3 linked regions of the Drosophila melanogaster genome follow. Changing the gene in region 3 together with the main gene of any one other region gives a genetic interaction. Each region holds a gene or a part of one and is shown on either strand. Other genes may lie near its edges.

What was found.
Region 1: of Egfr (region 3) and cora, changing one suppresses a phenotype caused by changing the other (phenotypic suppression), as found in Drosophila melanogaster (2 studies listed by BioGRID).
Region 2: of Egfr (region 3) and tkv, changing one suppresses a phenotype caused by changing the other (phenotypic suppression), as found in Drosophila melanogaster (2 studies listed by BioGRID).

What each region holds. Positions count from the first base shown.
Region 1 is NT_033778.4:19,227,552-19,232,118, forward strand, and holds the start of cora (coracle), read left to right. Parts: upstream 1-1,511; 5' UTR 1,512-1,563; intron 1,564-1,872; 5' UTR 1,873-2,102; intron 2,103-4,567. Other genes in the region: CG7137 (uncharacterized protein), read left to right, coding at 1-931. UniProt on the Drosophila melanogaster protein: An integral component of the septate junction. May play a role in cell-cell interactions that are necessary for proper development. Vital for embryonic development.
Region 2 is NT_033779.5:5,241,084-5,245,879, forward strand, and holds the start of tkv (thickveins), read right to left. Parts: upstream 3,057-4,796; 5' UTR 2,993-3,056; coding exon 2,899-2,992; exon of another isoform or gene 1,616-2,898; intron 1,538-1,615; exon of another isoform or gene 1,136-1,537; intron 424-1,135; coding exon 286-423; intron 95-285; exon of another isoform or gene 23-94; intron 1-22.
Region 3 is NT_033778.4:21,544,769-21,549,666, forward strand, and holds the start of Egfr (epidermal growth factor receptor), read left to right. Parts: upstream 1-1,874; 5' UTR 1,875-2,822; coding exon 2,823-3,123; intron 3,124-4,898. UniProt on the Drosophila melanogaster protein: Receptor tyrosine kinase, binding ligands of the EGF family and activating several signaling cascades to convert extracellular cues into appropriate cellular responses. Known ligands include spitz, gurken, vein and giant-lens.

The sequences.
Region 1 (4,567 bases), 2.3 Mb from region 3:
AAATCTGAATGTGAACAAGGCAGCTGAAAAATTCACTTACCGGCAGGGCAGAGGACCTCTTGCCCCGCCCCAAGACTCCTCGGATGATGACTACGAAGATGTGGAGGATGGCATCCGGGCCATGCACAAGGTGAAGTCCGGAAGAATAGAGAAACAGCGACCACCAACGCAGGCCACAAAAGGTGGCAAAAAAGAACTGAAACTGAAACCCGAACTGGCCCAGGCGGCTTTGGAGGCCATGGAGGCCACCAGCTCAACCACGCCGGCTGCAAACTCGTTGGCCAGTAAGCTGCAATCGGAACTCCTGGGCGGACGTTTCCGATACATCAACGAGCAGCTCTACTCGACGACCAGTCGCAAGGCGGAGGCACTTTTCCGCAAGGATAGCTCCGCCTTCGAGGCCTATCACGCTGGCTACCGCCAGCAGGTGGAGAAGTGGCCCATCAATCCGCTTAATCGCATCATCAAGACCATCAAGAAGATTCCCAAAACAGCCATAATTGGCGACTTTGGTTGCGGCGAGGGCAAATTGGCACAATCCGTGCCCAACAAGGTGTACTCCATGGACTTGGTCGCTGCTCGTAGCGACATCATTGCCTGCAACATCACGGATACTCCACTCCAAGCTCGAACTCTGGACGTGGCCGTATACTGCCTCTCACTAATGGGCACGGATCTGAACGAGTTCTTCCTGGAGGCCAATCGAGTGCTCAAGCTGCACGGCACTGTCTATATCGCGGAGATTCAGTCGCGATTCCAGGATGTGCGGGAGTTTGTGCGTTGCCTCAATGCATGTGGATTCGATCTTAACAAGAAGGATGTGGCTGTTAACTATTTCTACTTCTTCCAATTCAAGAAGATGCGTCATGTGCCCAAGAACACCAAGATGAAAGCTTTCTCTCTCAAACCTTGCTTATATCGCAAGCGATAGGATGTTATCCTATTCAGATTAGTAGATTTCCGACTTTGCGAACTGTTAAAGAAACCAAGACAGCGAATGCAATTATAGATAGTTACATTAATTTTATGTAGGAGAAACCGCAATAAATTTGGAATTCTTACAAATGTGTTTTGATCTCTTATTATTCGGTCGAAAATATACAAATTGATAATAAGGCGCGATAATTTAGCAACAAAAAAGGGCACAGATTAAAAATGTATGTCGAATACATAGCGCCTTGATATATGCGACAAAAATGTATAAAAGATAAAAAATCACTCGAATTTCCATTAGAGGTCATATAATTTTTAAAAAATTTAACGATTGAAATCGGACCATACATTTATTAAGAAAACATAGATTTATATACATTTTGTAGCGATATCAAACAGCGCTATTGCTATAAACATTTGAAAAGCAAACCGAAGCACTCAGATGAACCAACGGCATTTGCCAGCACTGCAACCACTCGGTGGTGGTTTCTCAGCAAAACTCAGTGGTCTCAACTGAAATCGACTCAAATCCAAATCGAGCAGCGGCAAGCGGATGGCTCTCAGTTTCAGTTTTCGGTTTCAGTACCAGTTTGCTCTTCGTGCACAGCACATCGAATATTTGTGAAGACGGTACGTTTTGTGTGATCGCGCTGCCAGAATTGTGAGAAGATTTGTTGTTTGGCCAGCAGCAAAGTAATTGCAAAACGGCGACGAGCGGATAGAAAAGAAAAGCGCGCAATTCGGCAGCAGTGTGTTTATAAATAAAATGGGAAATTAATTTATTAGCAACCACTATTCGCGCATTTTCCGCCCACGCCCACCCCGCTCTCTATTATACCCCTGAGCCCAACCCCCCTCACAGCACACACACCCCTTCAACTCCCACTCTTGCGTTCTCTATTACTCACTCAAAGAAACTCAACGTCAAATTTTCAACAGGTATTCAACGACGACGACGACGACAACAACAAATTGTCTTTTTTCGCGAACGAATAGAAAAAAGTGGCAAAGAATTTGTTTACTAGTGTGAAAGCGAGTGAGTGCAGTGCCCACGGGAGAAAAGTGAAAACAACACAAATACAGGAGTAAAAATCAGCCAACCGCCAAACTAACGGTAACTGCGTGTCCTTGCTGTGGATTAAAAAGGATTCTAGAGGCGTCTTAAAAGGGTGAGTACAATTTGGGGATTGCGACATAGGTTAATTACATTTTTATTCAAGTTTTTTTCTTTTGGGCTGTGGTCGGGAGTTTTTGGTGGCTTATGTTTTCGATACCAACACAAGCGCAGAATGACTTGGGCAGTATGACTTCATAGCACACACCACACACACACACACACACCCGAAAGCAGAGTTAATTGAGAGCAGCTTTGCGAGCGGGAGCGAAAAGAGAGCTCGACTCACTCACGCGGCATTTGTATCTGCGTATCTGTATCTGTGAGCTGTCAAGCTTTTCGAGTGTATCTTTTGGCACGATATTCTTATTCTTTCGACTTCTTGTTTTTGTCAACTCGGCCCACATTGTTGTTGTCGCCAGCTCTCTTTTGATTTTGCCTCTGTCTTTGCCTTACTCCAATTTTCCTTCTTCTGTGTTTTCCTCGTTTGCTTCGCATTTCGGGGCGCAGGGTGGGAAATTCTTATTGGGCCCGCGGTAGTCAAGGAAACGTTCCACAACACCGATCGGATACAAATGTATCTCAAAGGTAGTTTCGTTTAGCAGTGAACTTTAAAAAAGGGGGCAAATACTTTATATCTTTATAAAACCTACTCAGTATCGGTAAAACTACAACGTATGTATGTATATGTATCTCAAAGATACGCATGTGGAAAGGCATACAATCACTTTTGAATTCTACGCAAATTGAAAAGGTTATTCATAATGATGATTATGAATAGAAAACTTCTTAAGTGTAAATATCAATTGAGTAGAATTTATACTTTGAATTTATATTTTAAAGAAGGCCAACTACCAACCGAAAAATCAAAATTCCTAGAACTGCGCACTTTATGAAACCGATTCCTTTCATTTCCTTCTCTCGCTTAAATATAATTTTGGAATTTCGTCGCATTCATATGGCATATATAATAGTTTCATATGGCGGCTAAATTCCCCAAGCATCAAGACGTCACTGTTCCCAAAATAGAATCCATTGGGTTTGCGAGCAGGTTTCCACATTTCTTATCACAACATTGAGCGCTTTTTGCATTGGCATTTTTCATATGTTTGATATCGGCTGGGGTAAACAACGTCGGTCTTTATCCCAGCCACTAGGAAACATGGCTAAGATAAGATAAGGCCACCACAACAAAGGCCAGTTATGAATGGCAGGTGACTGGTGGCGATATTTTAGGTGTCCCCTCATCCCCCATCCACTGAGTCACGGCACGATTTTCACCATCCCCGGAAAACCTGGGGCGTTGACTTGGCAACCAAAAAACCGTTCTTCGAAAACCGCTGTTTACGTGAAGTCTTTTTTCTTCCACCTTTTCCGGGAGGTGTGGGCTTTGACCCAAATAGTAAGAAACATTAACATGTAGACTTCGTCTTCTTGGCCAGGCCATGCAAAGTGGGAATGGAAACGAACTGGCTAACATGAGGTTGAGCTTGCATTAGAAAAGAAAGAAATAAAAAAAACCGGTTGTTGCTGGCCAAGAAGTTGGCTGCACAGCAGACAAACAGATAAAGCAGCCGAGCAAAGCAAACGAGGAGTGCCAGCCAACTGAATGCCAATAACTGTACAACCAGCGAGTGGAAAACTATACTACAAAAATCTGGAGAGTGAGAGAGTTTCGGAGGGCTAACGACTTGGCAGCACGCGAATGAACATGGCTAAAAAAAAAACAAAATGAGTCGGAATCAGAGCCCCCTCGAAAACCTGAATTCGAACACGACTCCGAATTCGAGCGTTACCAACTAGGTGTGTCTTCCAGCGTTAGAAGCTCCCAGAGCGCGTCTCTCCGTATTCTCTCGGATTCTCTCGTCGGAAAACGGAGACTAAGCCCCAACCAGCGATTTTCCAGCGTGGCCAGATCGTTGTTAAGATTGGGGATCTCACCTACTATGTGTAGCACTTAATATCTTCATCTTTATGAATCCTCTTTAGAATCGCTAGCTATTCTTAGTTCACCGGAAGATTTCCACCCTCCTTCAGCGAGGTGAAAAACCAATCTAATCTTTCAACAAACTTAATCGGATGGAAGGCAGCTTTTCCAGCCCCCTTTTTAGCCAATCAGTTTCCCTCTTGCGCTCCTCCTAAATGCCCATTCGATTTTCCGTTTTCTATTTTTATTCCTTGTCGCATCGATTTTTACTTGTGCGGATGGGGCGTCTATAGGTCTATGATTAATGTGCAAAGCGCTGAAGTGGACAAAATTCTCCTCGAGGGCGGTTCGTTTGTTTACTTTCTCCGCCCTTCGCGACACTTTTTCCCTCACCTTCTGGGCAGAAATCAAAACGCGATGTGCATGTGGGTGCGGCATACCAACACAGTGAAAAATATTAACCTAAAACCACTTATTCTGTTCTACTAAATAAAATAGTTATGTTCCTTAAACCAAAAAATTGTTTCAACCCTTTTCTATATTATATATATTATTTTAAAAAGACTTGCATACGGATACAACATCTAAAATGA
Region 2 (4,796 bases), on a different chromosome or scaffold from region 3:
AAAAAAAAAATTATTTACACATCTCCCCGACGGGGAATTGAACCCCGGTCTCCCGCGTGACAGGCGGGGATACTAACCACTATACTATCGAGGATGTTGAACTTAGGTCGCCAAATTCAAAATATAAACTTGCTGTTGATCTATACATCCGAGTGTTATGATCATAAGTTATATTAATCCGAACTAATATTATATATAAGATAAAATAAGATAAGATATGCAAAATATTCGATGCTGATTTATAACACGCTTTTTTAAATCATTTTATTAAGATGGTAGACTCACCATTTTCCACGGTCTTGCTTTTCTCGTTGTCGGCATCCTCATATCCCTCTGATCCTGGTCCAGATCCCATTTCCATGCCACTCAAAGCGGCGGCGGCCATAGCTTCGACGTCTGGCTGAACATTCGCACTGAATTCACCTACGGGGCAAACAGAAAAACGGGCAATACGAAATATAAGTAAATTGAAAAACTGTGTAACTAATTTGTAAACAAAAAAAGGGAGAGCGGGTGGGAGTCTTGGCACTTGAGTTGCTCTTCTGTGGCGCCAGGCAAATGTCAATTAATAATTTAACAACAACAATTGCCCGTTTGTCGGGCGCCTGAAATACGAGATCTTAATTGAAAATAGAAACACATAGGGGCGATGGAGAGGAAAAGGGGAGTCGCACCAACGGAGAATGGGCAACTTCAACTCTCTTCCTGCTGAAAGCGGATGAGCGTGGGCCAACTAGACAGCTAAACGTGTGTCATAAACTTGGTCAAAAGGCCGCAGAATTTAGTGCCTCTCCGCAGACGGCTGCGTTCAGAACCAGTTGCCAGCCAAGTAGTCGGAGAGGCATCTTTAAGATACTGTTTGACAGCTCGCCGAGATTACGTCTAGTTCTGTCGTCTGCACGCCACAGACTTGGAGGATGACGTTCCTCGACGGCTCAAAGCCCACGCAATGAGCGCGACTTGAAGACCAAGAAATCCCCCTTTCTCGAGATACAAAACCGAGGTGCAAAAACCCCACTGTGCAACTTTCAGTGCAAATCAGCGGAAGCGACTCAGACCCAATCTCAGCGAAAGGGGTTAGGCCTCCTGCAGGGGTTTCTGTGTGCTACACTACCCATGTTTCCCCTACACTCACTTTGCCAAAATTAATGAGCAAACTTCATACGTAATTTGATAAACAGAAAAAGTGGTTGGCGCTCATTGGGGTCTTATCAAAACATTAGTTATTATTTATGATGCGTCTCATTTCGAGAGCTGGTATAATATATGTGTGCCACTCGACGGGCAATTGAAATCTCGTACGCGTGTTGGGTGGGCGAGGAAAGTCGCTATTCCATTCCGAATCTGTCAAAATGATAAAATGAATTATGCGAGTGCAGGTCCGATAAAAAGCTGCCATTCATGGAAAATCGGCGGCAATTGCGGAGCGCGAGCAAAGGATAATCTTAATTACGACCATAGAAAGTCGTAAATTAATGGAACTCAATAAAACTTTAGCGTAACATGAGTGGTGTAAATTATGGGAAACCGCTATACACAGTAATAAAAACATTATTAATAAAAAAAAAGTTCAATGATATCGATAGGGGGTTTGCGATATTTTTTAGTTTTGCAACACTTAAGAAGCAATATAATATTTGTTAGCTGAAAGTGCCTTGCTAAAATTTGACTTTCTAACTCCTCTTAGTTTCGAATATTTTCCAGTGCAACCACGAAGTTAACCGAAGCATTGATAAAGCCCATGTCTATGGCTATCGACTATCGCTAATTGATTGAGTGCCTTGCACTTGTCGACTCGAAACCCGCAGACCAAACGACGTAATTCCCCCGACGCGTCTAATATTTTCGCCACTTTGGTGTTGTGTTGTGTTGTGCCTTACACTCTCTGGCAGTTACATAAGCCATCTATCAAAGATTGCAAATTGCTGGGTGGAAAACTCGCGGCTCTTGTGTTCGACACATTTCCAAGAACTCAAAAGCAAAACAAAACACAAACGTGACAATCCATGTGGGTGCAGCCAAAGAACTGCGACCAGGGGAACTGATTTCGTATGGGCAGAACATGGCGACAATAAGCAAAACCCAGGCACAAAGTGGAGCACGTGCAAATTGGCTATCAATCAATATGCATACGGGTAGGAAAATGTACTGCGATGATATAGTTCGCATCGCTTCAAAAGATTCGCAATTACGTAGAAATAAAAGCAAATGCCGACTGCATGGCAAACGAATTGAATGGCTCCCAGCCAAATGGCAAAAATGTTAGGCCTCTATGACACTAGGTCGAAAACATAGTAGGCTATTCTAATGTAAATTCAAACACTTCCATATAGTAACATATTTTTTAATAACATAAAATGAAGAAAATTGATGAACAGAAGCAGCGCAGTCAAAGGATGAGCTAAAGATGCCAGCTTGCAGGAACACCATGAGCAGTCAGGAGCGCACGCAGAACATCAAGCGCTAGATAATGGAGGATGAATTGACCTTGTGCGAGGTCAATACCCTTTCAATCGATTATGAGGCGGCCGGCAAATGACAGTTTAACAGCCGCCACGGAACTAGCTGATCAATCCATTATTGACGATGTTTTTGGAGAAGACATCCTGATGAAAGACTTGCAGCGTAAGAACACCGTGCAGCCCACTTGCTCAACAACGACATCGTATCTTGTCCCATTTGCTTTGAGAAAATGAAGCGCGGTACCATTATGGTGTGCTTGGAACCGCCATCGTTTACTTCAAAGGACTTGGACACCCGTTTCTCCTCCTCGGGATCTTCCACATCACGCTGCACCAAATCGAAATCAAATTCATCAAAGCGAATTCTTCGCAGCTCCGGTTACACAGAGCTGAACAGCAACTCGACTACTCTGCTGTCCAGCGAGGACGAACTTACTCCGCGTCAGCGCCTCTAGTGCAATCTCTTCAAACAGACCGTCGGCTGTCCCAGATGTGGCCTGGAGTTCAAGGGCCACCAGCTGAAGGCGCATCAATCTCTCTGCCAGGGTCGCAAGAAGCACTAGGACGGCACCTTATACGAACCATACATTAAATAAGTTTTTCACAATTTTTCACACAGTAAATTTTCTTCATGTTATCAAAAGTGTGTTACAAGCAAAATATATAAAACAACTGATTGTAAAGTCAAGGCATGCTTATGTATCTAAAATATTGCTTGTTTAAATTTCAAGTCGATTGGTGTCATAAACGCATCTCTCAGATGGTCAGTGAGTGAAAATCAATTGGGTGTGGTCTGGGTAACTGGGCTTTTCAGCGGTTTGCCTGCTCATTGAACCTTGTCCAACTACAAAATGCTTCAAGTACTGCTACATTTACTGCAAAAATGGCCTAAAAATCGCCTTTCAAGTTGCACTTACAGTGGCCCAAAGAAAAACGCGGCCAACATTGTTGCCTGAGATAAGAAAACTTGGCTGGCGAGAGGAAAAACACACAATGAATAATGAATGGCGAATGTACGCCAGATAAACCCACATTGCATTTGTTGTGGGTTCGGGTTCATATTTTCATATTCATATTAAGTGACTGATTGATTGATGGCCCAGGCAACTTGGAGGTTTACTTTCAGTTTATCGTTCGGTAAGTCACACGTTTCTTTCCAAATCGCTCGTGGTTGGGATGTCAACTTGGAGATTGATGGCAGAATGGGGAAGAAAACCCCAAGGCAATCAAAAGTGAAGTAAAATAGGAGTTACGATAGCCAAAATGGGCAATTAGCAAAGTGGGGGTGCGTTTAAAGTTGTGTTTAGCGAAAGTGAATCACATTTCCTACATGTAATACCATGTTTTTGCTGTTTTATAAGATGCTTATGCATGAAGATGGCTAAAAATAGTATGTGTCACACACATTAATTAGAGTAAAACTGTATATTTCGTAACATAAAAATGCTATCTAGAGATTAGTGCTCCCTCCTTTTCACCACCATTAGAAATCCCCTAACCCAGTCGAGATTCTGGCCAGCAAAGATGTTTTGAAACTGGGTCGTCGCCGCTGAGTGCGCGCACTCTAGTAGCAATTAAAAATTTTAAATATTCCTTCTGCTGAACAGAATTTAGCAAACTTGCATTGGCCACTCAAAAATAGATCAAAGTGAAATTTATGTTACAGATTTTGGGTTTTTTTTTTTCTGGGTGGGGAAAACCAGGCGAACGGCGGATGCGAGAGTGGGACGATAGGGCCAAAAATAAATTCCCCGATGCAGCCATTTGGAGTTGGATTCTGTCCATCAACGCGCCGAGTCCATGCTAAATGAGCTGCACCCCCCGCCAGTCCGATGCATCGGCGTGTGAACATTAGTCAAAAATGCGTAAATGAAATCAATTAAAATTACGCATAGCACACGAGACGCATTCGGAATGGAAATCGATGTGTGTTTACACATTCTGCCTACGCGCTCTGCATGGCCTAATGAAGGCACGTCCCCATGCCATACCATCCTATACCACTCCGTCCATACAATCCCATCCAATTCGATCCCCAGGGAATTGGGTATGGGGAATGGTCGAGGGTAAGGGTTGAACCCGAGTGCAATTGGTAATGGCCAACACAAGAAGAAGAGCGGCGGAGCAGGGGATCACTGAGTGCCACTTCAATTTGTTTACAACAAGTTGGCCCGCTGATTGCAGCTGGGCCTCATTTCATACACACTTTAAAAAATCAATTTTCGACTTGCATTTAACGTGCCATATGCACTTGTTTTATATGATGGAACTTCCCTACCACTTATACAATTCCATAATAATTTCTCGCAGTGCATCATTTTCTGCTTAATCATA
Region 3 (4,898 bases):
ATCTTGGAATCTCAGAATCTCGGCATCTTACACCTCTCGAGCGGCGTTTACCTGTGGTTCGTACTGGCGGAGTTGGTGGAGTGCCCTGAAGTGGTTTCAGAGTTCTGAGTTCTAAGATCGTTCTCAACTCGATGTTCGGCTGTCAGTTGCATGCTCTTCGATTTTGACAGATGATTCCGTACGGTTTGGGCAGTGTACCTTTTGATTGAGGTCTTCTGGCTTGGGACAGACGGCTATTAATATGTTTGATTATGGCTGCAGACCGGAGCATGGCGCTTTTACCCCATCGTGGAAATCTGTGGAAATGCTTTTCAATTTAAATGTATTTTCATGCTCTGAAACAAAGCGCCGAGCAAGACAATGCAACGCCTCTCGAGAGTCACAGCGTGGGATTCGAGATTCAAATGTGGACCGAGGAGTTAGTTGCGCTTTTCCAAGTGCACCTTTTGTATTTCTGTTATGGCAAAGTGAAAAAGGTCAAAACGCTTCGGATTTACCTGCCGAAACAGTGTCCTTTTGGCCCGATCCCGCAGAGCACATGGCGCAGGCGTAAAAACCCCGATTTCTTGTGGGCTGGGAACAGGTGAAGAAGAGGCCAACGAGATCTCGGTCTTGGATCTGCCCTAACAATGTTGACAACGCTCGTACAAAAATCTTTTTGCCAAAAGACAATCCATGGCCCACGCAGGCTCGGCTCACAGACACAGATGCAGATGCGGGCACAGTTACACACACAAACACACACAGATACAGATACAATTGCCGAGATCTTTTGTGCTTATATGGCAGCATTGCCCACACATACCCATGTATATACAGCCAGGTGAGAGAGCGGCGATCGCTTTACCTGAACGCTCTCAAATTCGCCGCAACAACAGAACCTCCAACAACAACAACAACAACAGCAGCAGTGTCAAGAAATTGGGATATACACAAGATCTTACCTGGGAACGACCTGCAATCGATGCGAATCTTAAATGCCCTGCACAGCTGTCGGAGTTAAGATGCTGTCGGATAATCCCCGCATTGGTTTTTTTGCTCTTGTCTTTGCTATTGGGCATTTTGGGGGGAGGGGAAAATCAGGACATTGTTGCTCAAGTACTTTCCTTTGTTGGAAAACTCGTCTCTGCAGTTGAAAAGGCTATTTATGGCGCCTTCTTAATCCTACCTAAACTTTGCTATCTTAAAACTGAGGTTGTTGCGTATAAATGCTTCTTAACTTTTTTAACATAAATCCCGTGTGTATATTATTTATACACGCCCTGTATATCGAGCAACATATTTTGTGCAAAAAGATTGTCCTTCTTTGGTATCCACTCTTCAAGCTTGGGATACTTAACCGCTCTGAGCCATGTACTCTATGTTAAGATTGTTAGTTGAAGTTATGTTCTGCGAACTTAAGATCTCTAGTTGGTGTTTCCGTTCATTTGAGATGGCGCTAAATTCGATTCTGTGCATTAGGGCCAACGTTTAGCATTTTCCCATGATATGTAGAGCATTTGCTGGTCTGGGGGAAGATTGCCCAATGTATCTGGCCGTATCGTTTCGTATTACGCTGACTTTTTAAAATGCTGCTGCTACGTTTACGATTACCTGTGGATTGTGGATGGAGATGGTCCGCTGGCGGTGCGAGTGGGAACGCTGCACTGAGCGAGCGAGAGGTGGCGACAGCGGTGCGCAGCTGTGCCGTAGTTGTTGCTGTATCGCTGGCTTTGCTTTTATTTTGACCTGATCTGAGCTCGAGATTTCGCCGTTCACCTTTATTTTTACCTGTGCGCGCTCTTTTCGCCGCAATCGAGAGTAAGAAACACGGCGAGAGAGTGAGAGAGAGAGACAGAGAGGGAGCAGCGCCTTTTGGCTGCGGCTTTGGCCTCAGTCTCGAATACAACTTGTTGCTGCGCGGACGCGAATCGCTCAGTACGGACGTCTTGAGCTCGAATCCTCGGCCATATCTGTGCTCTCGATCGCAGCGTTTGCTAATTCGAAGATCGTGCTAATCGAAGTACCGAGAAATCACAGTTCGCAAAACGACCAAAACCAAAGCCAAAAACGGGGTGTAAGCCAAGTGCCTTTGGCCTATACTATACTACTAAGCGTATTTTTGTGAATACCCTGCTAATTGGCAGCCGCGGCTGTGGCGGTTGTGGCTCAGTTCGAATGATGGCCAAGTGTGTGTGTTTTGTGCAAGTTAACCGCTGCGGGGGCAACACAACAATTGCTTAGGGCAATCAATTAAAGCTGAAAGCTAAGAGCTGCGCCTGCGCACGCCTCTCTAACCTCAAAAATCGTTGGCGAACTCAAAAAAGAAGCTGAAAAATACATCTGAAAAATAACAAAAATTTTATTTTTTACATACACTCATATATATATATATATATATATGAAAGCCTTCGGACGACTCTTGTGGCTCGTAATGTGAAACTGGTTCCTACACTCACGCACACACTCACTCACTGGCGCGTTCAAAAGACCCACTCGAAAACACACACTCACTCTCACGCGCATACACAGTGAAATGTAAACACCAATACAGTGGCAAATTGCAACGACAACAGCTTAAATTCAAAACAACAACAACAACAACAGCAACCGCAGCAAACGCAGTGAAAGAGTCGAAATCAAATTTATGAAAAGCTGTATTTTTGGCACGCAAAGCTGAGTGAGCAAAAAGCCGAAAGTAAACCGCAAGTTCAAGAAAAAGAAACGAATAAAAAATAACCCCTATGACGTCAGGGGTTATAGCTTGGAAGAGGGCTTGATTCATCCCACCAGTAACGCCCACAAAAAGCACCAACCACCAAACCACCCACCGCCCCGCAACAATGCTGCTGCGACGGCGCAACGGCCCCTGCCCCTTCCCCCTGCTGCTCCTGCTCCTGGCCCACTGCATTTGCATTTGGCCCGCGTCGGCGGCCCGCGATCGCTACGCCCGCCAGAACAATCGCCAGCGCCATCAGGATATAGATCGCGATCGGGATCGAGATCGATTCCTATACCGCAGCAGTTCGGCCCAAAATCGACAGAGGGGCGGGGCCAACTTCGCCCTGGGACTGGGAGCCAACGGAGTCACCATTCCCACCAGTCTGGAGGATAAGAACAAGAACGAGTTCGTCAAGGGGAAAAGTAAGTGCACCGCAAGGATCTATCCATCTTCCTCAAGCCGCCCATCATCTATCAAAATGTGTTTATGTAGATCATCTGGCTGACTGACTGGCTGCCCATATATCAAAAGAGCCAAGTCGTCCCGAATTTGGCCACCGTATCAGTTGGTCTCTAGAGTTTCCACCGTTTTCAGGTGTTTTTTTTTTTATTGTAGTTTCGTGCCAGCGATATGCTGTCGTTTATCTTATCGCTGTGATGTTTTTTTTTTATTTTTCCCCTGTACTGCACTTTAAATATAGCTTCGTTTTCGGCTGCATTTCGTATTATTTGGTCTTATCGTTACCCTGGGAATATCAATTATCGAGGGGTAGCTGCAAAGTGTGCAATATTACAAATATTTTACTAAGCTCATAGATTAAAAAACACTTGCAATAGTGTGTGAATTCGTAGTATTTTAAGTAATATAAGCTTACTTAACATTTATGTGTCTGGAATATGGACTTTGAATGATATTTCCCAATATCACGTATACGCCAGGGTATCCCCTAGTCCAGAGTGAATGCTCCCTCCATTTAATACCTGCCCTTCGCGACGGTCTCACCTGCCCTGTGGCTCACCTCTTGACTTGGCGCTGGCTTAGTCAAAGAGTCTTGTGTGCACTATCGCCCCTGTTTCGAGTTACCCCCACACCTAGCCATCAGATATCACGGCAAACATACCAGAATACCAGAACGCACTGATTAGCCAAGCACTGAGCACTGTGCTGTGCATTTCGTAATGTCAAATGTACAAGGTAAAGCGTAGTAGTTAGTTAGTGTTAAGACCGCCCGATTTTTCCACTCTGCCACTTTTCCCGCCGTCTGCGTGCCCTTTTCTGTGCATCAGCAGCAATTGCAATTGCAACAGCAAAAGCAACAGTAAGAGCAATAGGGCAACTGCAACTAGCGACACAATTTCCAGCTAAAATGGCGACTCAATTTGTTGACTCTGCAGTTCTCGAGGTTTTCTTTGTGGGCTCTTTGTTTCTTACCCGTTGGAAAATAAATTAATACACAAAATTTGGTATTCGCATATTGGAAGTTTTGGCTGCTTGGCTGGCTGGCTGTATGTTTGGGTAACCATTTGGCCACAATTTAATGAACTCCATGGCGTATCTGGCGGTGTCTGTTTGCACAGTACTTTGAGGCAAATGTTTGTATTCGGCGGGCAAACAGAAAAGTAAAAATTAAATGGGAGGCGAATAAAAGCGGGCCGTCGATACCAAGTACTCAGTGATCTTGTAGCTGCAAATTAATAACTGAATGTGCGCATTGTGCGCCAGCAACTGTGCAAATATTGATAGGAAAACGAAAACTTTGGCTACGCAGTCTATGCTAATGGGAGACGGGAGACCACCACCGCATAGCCGGATATGTGGATGTGGTATGTATGTATGTATGTATGGCTAGATAAGCGAGTTATGAAACCGATAAAGATGCCAGAACCTTAAAAAGCGATATTACCCTTTTTTTTCGCACAGACGATCGCTGCTGTCACAATGCCCTTTTCGCAGAAATTGTTCGAGTTATTTGCTCTGGCTTACTGTTTCGCTGTTTTCTTTATGACCATAAAAATAAGCACAGCTGCGGCATGTATGCAAATAAATGCTAGAGAAAAGCCTGCACGTGCATTCGAATCGAAACCGTTAAAAAAATCGTTGGGGGTAGGAAACTCGAACAACTGGCAATTGTTGTTGACGTCTTTATAGTTCAAAACGCTACACTCGCTGGCAAAAAATCACCTTTTAATTGTTCATT